Linked DNA regions of Arabidopsis thaliana. The protein of the gene in region 1 interacts with the protein of each later gene in a biochemical or structural test. Each region holds a gene or a part of one and is shown on either strand. Other genes may lie near its edges.

The links.
Region 2: the proteins of BAG5 (region 1) and CAM1 are reported together in a solved structure, tested with the Arabidopsis thaliana proteins (one study listed by BioGRID).

The regions. Positions count from the first base shown.
Region 1 is NC_003070.9:4,072,690-4,079,936, reverse strand, and holds BAG5 (BCL-2-associated athanogene 5), read right to left. Parts: upstream 3,712-7,247; 5' UTR 3,604-3,711; coding exon 2,956-3,603; 3' UTR 2,707-2,955; downstream 1-2,706. Other genes in the region: AT1G12070 (Immunoglobulin E-set superfamily protein), read left to right, coding at 1-13, 105-171, 349-573, 666-790, 953-1,024; AT1G12064 (uncharacterized protein), read left to right, coding at 1,903-2,232; AT1G12050 (fumarylacetoacetase), read right to left, coding at 4,081-4,143, 4,278-4,403, 4,498-4,594, 4,678-4,742, 4,847-4,909, 4,988-5,058, 5,153-5,212, 5,296-5,395 and 6 more. UniProt on the Arabidopsis thaliana protein: Co-chaperone that regulates diverse cellular pathways, such as programmed cell death and stress responses.
Region 2 is NC_003076.8:15,001,951-15,007,747, forward strand, and holds CAM1 (calmodulin 1), read right to left. Parts: upstream 4,256-5,797; 5' UTR 4,168-4,255; coding exon 4,092-4,167; exon of another isoform or gene 3,980-4,091; coding exon of another isoform or gene 3,935-3,979; intron 3,475-3,934; coding exon 3,397-3,474; intron 3,193-3,396; coding exon 2,819-3,192; 3' UTR 2,577-2,818; downstream 1-2,576. UniProt on the Arabidopsis thaliana protein: Calmodulin mediates the control of a large number of enzymes, ion channels and other proteins by Ca(2+). Among the enzymes to be stimulated by the calmodulin-Ca(2+) complex are a number of protein kinases and phosphatases.

The DNA of each region.
Region 1 (7,247 bases):
CGAGAAAGACAAGGTTTTGATCTCTCTTGTTATGATTTCATAAATTATTCAAACCCAATTGCATTTTGGCTATAGCGCTTTTCTACAATTAAAAATTTGTCTAGGATGATGAAAGCTTGAGGAGATGGAAGGAGCAACTTCTAGGCAGCGTGGATCTTGAGGAGGTCGGAGGTAAACCAAAATCCAATATCCGGTTTATATCTATGGTTAAATAACAGATGAATCCGATTAGAATTACTTTTTAGATTTCAATAGATAAGATAATTGTAGGAATATTAAAAAATATATATATATATATATATATATATATATGTACTGTTTTGATAGAGTGACAAAATGTAAATGCAGAGACTCCGGATCCACTGGTAAAGATACTAACCTTAACAATTAGGTCACCGGATAGAGAAGACATGGTATTAACGATCCCTGAAAACGGAAAACCGGCTTCGAAAGGACCATGGTTCACTCTCAAAGAAGGCTCTAAGTACACTCTCATATTTACTTTCCGTGTCACCAACAACATTGTGTCCGGCCTCCAATACAGCAATACAGTTTGGAAGACCGGAATCAAGGGTATTTTTATCTTTTACACTTTCGCTAACCACAAATACACACATTTTAGAAGCCGTTGTCTAATTTATTTTCTTTAACTTTGTGGAGAACAGTGTATAGTAGAAAGGAGATGTTAGGAACGTTTAGTCCACAGGCGGAACCGTACACTCATGTTATGTTTGAAGAGACGGCACCCTCTGGTCTACTCGTTAGAGGCTCTTATTCTGTTAAATCTAAGGTACCAAAAATCTAATAGTTACATTTTTTTAGTTTAGTTACAATATATGTAAGTATGTATGCATCATCTAGCAAAATATGTTGTCTTAGAGTTTTATTAATTTGTAGACTATTTTATGGATTATTTAAATCACTTACTTATTGTCTTGTATCTATTTTTCAGTTCGTCGATGATGATAATCAGTGCTACTTGGAGAACAACTACACCTTCGACATTCGCAAAAATTGGCTGTGATATCCATCACAAAAGTTACTGGAAGAAGAGAAAAAAATATAATATTATTCATTATTGTTTCTTCAATTTAAATTTGTTCATATCGTTATTCGCCTAACTTTTTTTGGATGATTCTTCATCTCACTTGATATAGACAATATGCTTGTTTGTATTTCTGTAAGTTACTATTTTCGGATTTTATTCTATTTTTCAAACTAGCTAGATACAGATTTTGTTACATGTGCATGTATATAGATGAACTACGTACGTCATCGTTATAGATTCCCTTATTCGTTTATTCATAGTCCAAAACTTCTATATAAAACTAAATTTTGAAACTTAACTTGGTTTGGTTTTCCCTTGGAGAGTTCTAAATATAAAGAAAAAGCCTAAAAGAAATTTAGTAGGTTCTTCGGTTGAAACTGGGATATTTTTACTAAAAATAATTCTACGAATGTTTTGACCCTTGTTTCATTCATACCGTTTTCAAAACTAAATTCAGTTTGCCACATATATATATTATTATTTAATTGTTTCATTCTACAAGTTTACCAAAACTCATTTTGTATATTCTATATTTTCATCTGGTTTTTTAAAAAAATGTTTCATTCTGTTACCGGAAATATATATATTTAACATATCATTGAAATAAAAAAAGAGTGAAGAGCGCATTTAAGGAAATTGTACACTTCAAGAACAATGAATGCCTCACTTAAATGCATCTTGGTGTACTGCACTATCAATCTCGTCTTTAACTCTTGTGGAAGTCACTAGATAATAATCTAATCAACAGAAATATTTTTGTATATCATGACAAAACCTCTATATAAATAAAGACAATAACATTCTCAAAGATATAAATTTCCAAACTCTCTCACAAACCAAAACCAAATTCCAACATGAAGAAGACCTACAAGCTTCAAAGCCTCTTCTCTTCTCTCATCTTCCTCATAATCTTGCTATTGATTTCGAGAGCCGCGGCCGTCGGCTCTGGCGGTGTCTGCCGGCATCCACCATCACAAAACAGCTGCAAGACATGCATGGCGGAGCAAATGAAATACGACTGCCCTAAGTGCGTGCCGGTGCTCCGATGCATGGCTCGTTGTCTTTGGGGCGGTGTTACTCAGAGGAAGTGCACCACCACGTGTCGATGCGACACCGCGGCCAAGCCGTCGTTGCTGGAGTGTAAACGCTGCGTTTCTAGGTGTAAGTGTAGCTGTGCGGCTTAGGAACAAATCGAGTAAATGCTCTCTTGATGGTAAAATAATATGTTAAATGTTACCATGTTGGATCTTTGTCTCTTTAACTTGATGTTATATATGTATGTTGAATCTTTTTGTCGTTTAACTTGATGTTGTATACGTTGAATGCTAAAAGTATATAGTTCCTATTTATAGTCATATATCTAAGAGATATATCACATTATTCTTTTTTCCCGGTCAATATACTCACACACACACACATTTGATGAATTTGATTCCGGATTATGACACAAGTATTTTGTTCCGGTCAATATACTCACACACACATAGTAATCGGATAGAATTGACTAACTAGTATTTTTTTTTCAAATTAGCTATGCAATTTTTTAGTGTAGGATCAAATCTATTTATTTTGCAATTTTGAATTATGATTCATGAATAAACACTAAAAGATCAATACGCATTCATAGAATTTTGAATGTCAATAATTATTTGGATAAATAATTTTTAGTAACAAGTTATTTCACTTTAAACCATATTTTGACATTACCATGGACCCAAATTTGAGTTTTAGACTTTGGAGACTAATTTATTGTTTAAGATTCGTATAACATACAAAAAAAAAGATAATTCGTTCGTTATTAACCGTGGAAATTTTCGTTATTTAATGGAACATAAACGGACTAAAAACAATAGCAAACGATGACCTATCGTACACGGTACACCGCGACACACCGGATTAAACCGCCGTCATTCTCTGAGAAATCTCTGGAAACATCTGAAACCCAAATACTGAGCACAGAATCTCTCCATCTCCTCACCGCCTCTCTCTCTACACATCTCTTCCTCCACCGCTTCTTCCCAATACAAAGGCCACGCGCCACCGCCTTGTCCGGAGTCTACTCCGCCGAGATCGTTGTAATTCCACCATTGAATTTCGTCTTTAGTCTCCGAGATTGAATCGAGTATTTCCTGCATCCCTACGATCTTACGGCTCACTTTCCTCCGAGCTTCTCTGATCGTCGGATCTAAACCAGGGACGGAGTCTAGTTTCAGAAGCAGAGCCATCAGAGTCTCGTTCATTCTCAGACGTTCCTTCTCATCGCTTCTAATGGCGTCTACTGTTTCTTGCCGTTGGATTATGCTCTGTACACGGTTCGCTTCCCGATTGATGGATGAGATTTTCTTGTATAGGTTTCGGATCCTATAAGAACGGTAGCCAGACTGAATCCTCGCTGCTGCGGCGGTGGCGTTTGTTTTGACGTTGGCTTTCGTCGCCGGTAATGGAGTTTCAATCGGGATTTCTTTGGTTGCCGGAGGGGTAGTATGGTCATTATAGAAAGTGTGAATAACGGTGGTTGTTGTTGTCGACGATGAGAATTTTCTTGAACGTTTCATTTTTTTGTTTTCTTTTCTTGATATGGATGAGATTGTTTTTTTTTTTGACGGTGGTCGTTAGTATATAACTCGTGAATGTGGTATAAATAAATATAACTCCCTAGTAATTTTGCAAAGACCAATTATTGAAAGTTTTTGTGTATAAACGACCGACCGTTGCTAAAGGACTCATTACCACTCGATGATTATCACTTTTTATATTGAAAGTTACTAATATTCCGTTGTCTTTCTTTATAAAAGATTCAGTAACATATTACACTAATATCGAGAAATGACTTATTGTTAATGGGTTGGGGTTATCTGCTTAATAATATTCATATCCCCAAGTGCTTAATCGTGATTATGGAAATCTTTCTTTTCACCATTTTTCCTGCAATAAAGTGATACTCCCATCAATTCCATTTTTTCTGTAAACAATTCAGGTGACGGGATTTTTTTTATTAATGTTATAAAAGGTACGTTACCGGCGACAGCTGATCAAGGCGGTGAAGGAACAATTTTCCCTGTGCATGTTCCAAACCCAACATTGTAACCATCTCCCTACAACGGTTTAATCATAGACGTAATTTGATTAATAAGCGTTAACCGAAATGTCATGCAACGAAATTCATTTGGAGTTGTTGGGGTATAAAGCAAATTAAACTAAAGCAGAAACCGTGTTAATCAGCTGATACCTTGCATACACCTGAGAAGGTGACTTGGTCTCCGTCTTCGAGAAACGTCTGAGTTGTTCCATTGAGTGATAGAGGTTTCTGTCCATTCCATGTCAACTCAAGTAGGCACCCATATGAATCTGGCTCCTGCGTTTAGAACCAAGAAACAAAGATTTTGCGAGTTATTGTGTAGTCATCACGTGATATAGTAGACGAGAGAACTGGTTCGAAAAGAGTTTACCGGTCCGCTTATGGTTCCTGTGCCAAGGAGATCACCAGGCCTCAAATTGCAACCGTTAACGGTATGGTGTGCTAGCTGCTGCGTTATGGTCCAATATCTGTCACAATAAGTTTAAAAGAGTTTGAACCAAACTGTTTAATTATATGGAGGAATTGGGTAGGAGATTATAGAGGAACTCACAAGTTTTGGAAGTTGCTCTTTGTTATTACACAAGAATCATCTCTGCCAGAAGGTTTAAGTTGAACCTATAAGAGGTAAAAACATGATGTTTATTTCAGTTCAGTCCACCATAAGCTGTTATAGTTGATAGCAAAAAGCCAAAAAGTGAAACTCCAATATCGAATGCTACCTCCAAGGAGATATCGTAATTTACAGACTCTTTCTCAGCCAAATATGGCAATGGAGGTGGATCCTGCCCCAAGAACAAGTTAGATCATGAGAGAATCAGTGATTGCGTGACACAAAAAGAATGTGATGCCTAAGTACCAACCTGCTTGGGAGCTTGACAACCAAAAGGCTCAAGCGCATCCAAGGTAACAATCCAAGGGGATATAGTAGTCCCTACAACACAACAAGACAACATTCACCGAAGTTCTTTGCCCATATACTTCAACTAGAGGAAATGAAATCAAAGTATTGAAGCCAAATATCTCACCAAAACTCTTCCCCAGGAAAGGACCAAGAGGTACATACTCCCACGCCTGAATATCCCTAGCTATAACAACAAACATTTAAAAAAACCGGTCATGCCCGGTCAGGTTAAAGATGACTCAACGAAAACTATAGTTAAGTGAGTACCACTCCAGTCATTCATCAGTAATAGACCAAATATATGATCGGCTGCATTATTCACGTCAATAGGCTTTCCCAATTCATTTCCTGGACCAACCACAGCAGCCTGAATATCATGTGATAAAAGAGAGGTTTGTCAATGCCGTTATTCTTAACTAGCACCAAAAAGCATCAACCGAATCATTGTAAAACAAATCCACATAACTGAGGCATCAGATGCTTACCATCTCAAGCTCAAAATCAAGTTTCTTCGAAGGTCCAAAATATGGTTCAGAGTTTCCTTGTGGATGGCCCTGACCTCTGGAAGAAAGCAAAACAAGCAAAGATAAAACTGGAATTAGCATTTCATTATTAATTTGTCTGCATGAAATTTTACCATCCGCCAATATTGGTTTCAATGTAATAATATCTTATAAAAAACTATATTTCTTGTCAAAGCATAAAACCTTGCATGATGCATGACTTCAAATATGACATGTGAATTATTCTTAACAACCATTCTCAGCCCACCAAAAACCAGATAATAATACACAATTTCCTAACCTTGGTCGAATAATGTCAGTCCCAGAGATGACAATAGATGATGCCCGTCCATGATATGCAATGGGAAGACGAAACCTGAAAAATATGGTAATGTCATGTTAATACAGAGTCATCCTTTCGACTTGACCATTTCATGAAGAAACTCTCAGCTCAAAAGTAACATAAACGCACCAATTTGGGTTTATCGCATTCTCAGGCCCACGGAACATAAGTCCGCAGTTCTTCGCGTGATGCATAGATGCAAAGAAGTCTGTATAGTCCCCAATCACCATAGGAACAATCATTTCCACTTTACTCTGCAAATTTGCATCAAACAGCAATAAACGTAAGTAACAGATATACAAACAATTTCCCTAGTTTAAGCAAAAAACAATTTCACACTACTAACCATCTGATGGAATGATTTTCTCCTCAAAACATCATTGTCTCGCAAGATAGGTTCATTAGCTGCATGAAAACATACCAAAACCAAAACCTTGAAGCCAAATAACAAAACTCCATAAAAATCCAAATAAATCAATAGGATCAAACAGAGCATACATGACAAGATTCTTTGCAGCGTAGAACGCGCTTCCTTCCACGCAGGCCGTCCCATGGCCAAGAACTTATTCAAATTAGGCTGCAAACAGAGCACAGAAACTAAACAATATTAACATCAAAAGAAACACACCAGAAAATAAACACAACCTCATTTTCCTCATCACTAAGTGTAAGCAATACACTATACCGTCAGATCATAAAGCAATAATCATAGTTGCAAAAGTTCAAAATCGTGAACAGAAAACTCAAACTGTAACAGATAATGAATCGAAGCAACGAGCAATTGAGTAGAACAATGGATTTTTTTCGAGCTAAACGGGATTGATCTATCCAATAAACCATGGAGCAAACTTCAGAGATCAGGTTCAAATAGCAAATTCGAAATCATTTACGGAAACATTCCCAGGGTACTACTACATAGTAATCCGAGTTTATAGGAATCGGAAAAACGAACCTGAAGAAAGCAATCTGCGTCCTTAAGGATCAGACCATCGAAAAGCCCAGCTTCAGAGATAGCGGAGAGGTCCAGAACCAAATCGCCGATAGCGACGGCAGGACGAGGAGTTGAGTTCGATTCCGGTTTGAAGACACCATAAGGGAGATTCTGGATAGGGAAGTGCGAGTCTGAGCCAACATCGATGAAAGACTTCAGCAACGCCATTGACGATACAGATACTAAAGACGACGACGACGTATGAATCTCCGGCGAAGTTTCCCAAGCTAATCCCCAAATTCCAGTAAGCGAGAGAGGAGAGTTAGTTCGAAGTGGTAGGTATAGATTTTTCTTAAGCTTCCGTTTTTGAGATGATGACTGAGAAGTTGACGTCATCTTTACAGTTTTCAATTAAATATTCAATTTTAATTTGAGATAAAAA
Region 2 (5,797 bases), on another chromosome or scaffold:
ATCTAGGAGAAGAAGATCTAGACTCATTAGCTCTCCGTTTCTTTTGAAATTGCGAGCTTCCCACATTCTCAAGAGGCGGACAGTTATATGTTGCATAGATGATCCGATTGTAAGCTTGTCTACAGCGATGGATTGAAGAGGTGCTACTGTAGTTGTTGATTGTGTTGTTGCCATAATGATCGTACGTGATTTTGATCTTTGAATCTGACAAATGAAAGATATGATATTAGTTTATTCTTATTTACCATTAGTTGTTGTCGTTAATAAGTTGAAGTTTATGATTCCAAAAAAATAAAGTAAAAGTTATTGAGAAGAGAGACTTACTTTTCTAGATACTCTTACGGTGGTTACAAAGATTAAACTATTTTGGTAGTGAATATGTGTCATATATATATAAAGATAAATATTTACATTATGTAATATTCTAGTTGGAATGATTAGAAGTTTGAAAGAGTATTTATTTTTCTTAAATGGATATTATTGTTTAGAAATGGGTATATACGTTATTCTGATTGGGAATTTTTGTAGGGTTTTTTAAACGTCTAGATTATAAATGAGTTAGTTAAGTTATAATCGTGCGTATTTGATTTATTGTGGATTTATTTACTCATTTTTAATACCACATGATGGGTTGTAAGTTTCTAAACATTCATACTTTAAAAGCATCTTCAATGGTAGTTTTTAATCCTAAGTCTCTTAAAAAAAATAAAGTGTAAGTATAAATAAATAATATTTTTAATTATGGGTTTCTTAAATTTGGTGAAAGTAAGACAAATTATCTCTTAACTAAGAGACAATTGGCCTATATTTCATCAAATTTAAGAGACTCATGTAATATTTAAATCATATATATTTTTTATTATTTATTAAAAAACATTTTTAGAAACCCCCATTGAAGGTGTTCTAAGGCTCTGGAGCGTCCATTCTTCCGCTAATAACTTGAATAAAGTAATACAGTTATTAATTCTAAATGAGGTAAATTTTGTTCCTAAATAAACATGACATACTGATCGAATATATATTTTATATATAATTTGTGTTACACTCCATACTAACAAAACAATACATTTTCTTTTAATTGTGGATACAATGTGTTTGAGTTTTTTTTTGGTCTTTTTTTATAATTACTTCTGATATTACAATACTAACAGGTAACTTTTTAGTTATGACGTAAGATAATTGTTTGTTTTTAAGAACTTATATCAAATGGCGTAATTTTTTTGACAATAGTATAGTGCATAGTTGTTCCCACATTAACTTAATTTTTTTATAGTTTAAATATGAGTTGTAATGTGTGTGGATAATGCAAGTATAAATTACTGTGACGCCACGAAGGCTATTGTATTACCAGTGCAACATAGTGAAGGAATGATGAAAGAATACTATTGTATTTATTTTTGTAAGATCATTCCTTCTTGGAAAATACTATTGTATTTTTCAACAAGTGATGAAGGAATGAAGCAACGAATTAAGGAATTCTGTTTAGAAAGATGAGAAGATAGATATATGATGAGTGTGATATGAGATTTATGTTAGAAAAATAAATTGATATGTTAGTCATTGGACAATTATACCTTCTCATCTAGCAGGAAGAGTGAGTTTTCAAGGAATACATCACGGTCGTTGGCAGAACGTATTTCCGGTATGAACTTCCCACATTCTAACAATACGGCCAATTCTGTTACCACAACATTCGAATTTTTCTAATACATGTTGAGAAAAATATTATGAAAACATTATGGTAATATACCGTAAAAATTCCCAAAAATGTACTCATCATATTCTCTACCCAAATGCCTAAAAAAATAAAAGAAGATATATTAAATTAAAAAATATAGAAAGAGTGATGGTTGAAGTTCTGACTTATGATAGGTTCATATGTTGAATTAATTACTAATTATGTATTACTTATTTTAAGAAGTGTAGGTGGCAACCTCTCCTTTCATGTGCTGATGTGTAATATTGTGGGAGAGAGTTGAGCTCCTGTCATATATATGATTTCTCACACTTTTTGGGAAATAATGTCTTAATATAAATTTAAATAGATCGAATACTTAATTATATAGTCTAAGTATAAATAACAAGTTACTAAAAATATGAATGTATTGTTCAAAATCTTAATTTAAAACTTGTCTTGAAATTTACTACTTCACGACAATTTATGGTGGCCAATGGCATAATACCAACCTCGTGTTTTTACATGTGTCATTTTCCTATTAGTCCAACATCAATTTTCAACTTGGTATCCAAATAAATAATACACTAAAGCACTTTATACTAAAACTAATTGACAAAAGAAAAGCACTTTATACTTAAAACTAAATTTTCAGCGACCTCTGTTTGTCGTATGAAAATTAAAAGTTTGATTAGACACAAATTTGGAAGTGATTGCCCGCGAATCATTTTCTTTGTGGCTAACGTACACACGTATAGAGACGTACAGTTCAGACGAGTGGCTCAAATGATTAAAACAGTAAATCAGAAAGAGAACATTTTAATATAACTATAATTTTAACTAGTACTTAATTTTTTCAGCTTAAAGCCATATTTTTCATCTCTATTTCTTATCTTCTTCTTTTTTTGTAAAACCAAAAAAGCAACAAAATGTGGGTAAAAAGTAAAAACCCAACCCATCGGTTTCAATCCAACTTACTTGATTTTCCATTACACACAAAAGTCACAAACCAGAAAATCAAAAGAACGAAAAACAAATTATGTCTGTTTAAAAGCATATCTCCACCAATCATGCAAATGTTTTTGGTTAAACTCCTAGAAGCATAAAAAGGTCATCATCATCATCATCATCACCTTTATCAAATCACTTAGCCATCATAATCTTGACAAACTCTTCATAGTTAATCTGACCATCTCCATCAACATCAGCCTCACGGATCATCTCTTCCACTTCTTCATCAGTTAGCTTCTCACCAAGATTGGTCATCACATGGCGTAGCTCAGCAGCGGAGATGAAACCGTTCTGGTCTTTGTCGAAAACCCTGAAGGCTTCTTTTAGCTCTTCCTCGGAGTCAGTGTCTTTCATCTTCTTAGCCATCAGGTTCAGGAACTCGGGGAAGTCGATAGTGCCGTTTCCATCTGCATCAACCTCGTTGATCATGTCTTGGAGCTCAGCCTCTGTTGGGTTTTGTCCTAGTGAACGCATAACTGTTCCCAGCTCTTTTGTTGTGATGCAACCTGTGTAACCACAATTAAGAGAGCATTACATTTTAGAACCCATCACATATTATACTCAAATGCTCAATGGAAGCAATGATAAAGCAGTTTTGTCATGGGTAAAAGCAATGATAGATGCAAAAGCGAATGAACATCTTTTGCTTATCTCTTAAAGAGTGAACAAACAAATCTACACAAATTGAGCTACTATAAGCAGGATATAACCATGAGACAATTCAGGAGTAGTTTCCAAACAATTTGATAATCTTTTGAAATCAAATCCTAGATCAGAGAGAACAAACACTACATCAACTAGTATAACAAACAACTCAGAAATCAAGAGAAAATCTGAGCAACATGACCTTGAAACCTACCTAGAGAGATCAAGAAGAACCATCAAAGCTTCTAAAAGATTCGAAATCACATTTAAGCACATAGTTTTTTCCCATTCTTTGGTAGAATTGTTGAGAACACAAAAAAAAACTCAGATAATTAACAACTTCGAAGAAAAAAAGATAGCAGATTCTTTATCAACTAAGAGCAAACTCGAAAACACATACGACCAAAACAATCATGGAAGATGAAAAATCAAACAAAACGTAAGAGACGAAAAAATAAATCAGATCCAAGCTAGCAAATCAACGAAACAGGACAACAAGCAAGCTATTAAATCGATTCAATCATATACAAAAAGCCATCGAAGATCAAAAAGCGAAACTACTCGGTCAAAGATCAAAAACAGATCAAACGACAAGGTCAATACCTCCGAATCTAAAGAGATTAGCGACTAATAAACACATATTCAAAGCTCGGGAGGACGAGATACACCGTTCTAAATCATCGATAGAAGACGAAAATGGAAAAAAAACCGAGATCCAGTAATGTAACCATCAAAGGCGTAAAAGAAGAGGTAATCTAACCATCGCCATCTTTGTCGAAGAGGCTAAAAGCTTCCTTGAATTCGGAGATCTGTTCGTCAGTGAGTTGATCCGCCATAGCTTCTTCGAGAAATCGTCTTTCTTCTCTTCCTTTGTCTTTACTTAATGAGTTTTTTTTTTTTTTGGATTCAGAGTCGTCTCTCTTTGAAAATGATGCAAACAAATATCTAAGCAAAACGACAAAAAGAAGGAGAAAAGGTAAGTCGGAAAAATTCCAAACAAAAACCCAATTAATTTTTAATTTTTAGAAGAAAATACATATATTAATAAAAGTGTATAATTTAATACCAAAATAATTAAAATATTATTACTTTTATATTTACTACTTTAATAAACTATGAATTTTTCGTTGATATGACATTAATTTTATTTATTTTTTAAAAATTACTTTTAGTAATATTTTGTTTCTATATTATAAAAATTATTTTATTTTTAAAATTCACATAAATAAAATGAGCAAAAGAAATCTTAATAAATTTTGAAAAAGATAATGATATTGTGAACCGAAATATTAATAAAAAGTTAGCTGATGTTGATATACACAATGTAACTTAGTTGAGGTATAAAAACGTACCGTTGAGAGGTTGAACTTCACTTTTTTCCGGAAGATGAATATTCGGATTATTTTAACTACAACATAAACCACTTTCTACAAGCGCTCTCACGCCTTTGGCTCACACGATTGTTTTCTAACATCATTTGGCTCACGAAATATGCTTCACAAAGTTTACTTGTGATGATCCATCACAGCAGACAGCAGTCGAGCGTTAAGAGAAAGATTGCATGTCGTACATGTACATCATGTATTCATGTGTGAAAGATGCCAACAGTGGTCGAAACACAATTATCATCAGAAAAATATTACTCGAGCAACAATACTTTTCTATCTACGAGTATGTGCTGCTCACTCTCCATAATATGGAGCTAATATTGATCATAAGGCTTGAGCGAATCACCTATCACCAATACCTAAGATTAGGTGATAATCTTAATTAAGCTATTTGTCTTTGGGCCAGTTCTACACGTATTTGGGTCACTACAAAAGTTTGAATAGCTTGAAATCCTTAATACCATGGAAAATGAGGTTTCTTTTCTTCTTCGCACTACCATCTCTTCGGCATATCTAAAAGATACCTCGTAGGCTCGTATACAACTCTAAGACCAAATTTAATAAATTGTTGGACAAACCTTATTCTAATTTTTGGGTAACACGATTGGAATCAACAAAACCCTATTCTTGATTGTCGAAACTTACGTACTTAATTAATGTAAGAAAGAAAAAAAATATCCAAGTTCATATAGGTTACAAAGAAAATAAAAAAATTCCAACACAAATAAAAATTAAATTTTTAAAATTCATAATAAAAAAAATAAATTTCAAAACTAAAACTAGATAAAAATAAAACAAAACCAAGGAAGAGAGTAATAAGCTTAAAGAGACACAACACAATCCCAACGAGGAAGCTCTTGACAAGGTCAAAGGAACATTCCACCCATACATGAACACATGCTGACGGAGATCTCGAGCATATTTTATCTGCGAGAAGTAGATTCCGTCTTCCCTAGCTTCCCATACGTCTCCATGGTTAACACCAAAAACTTGGTGATGCTTGAAATTAGGTCCTTGCCATAAATGACACCAAAAATAGTCGGAATCATCATCAACTAGCAGATGGTACGATCCTGTT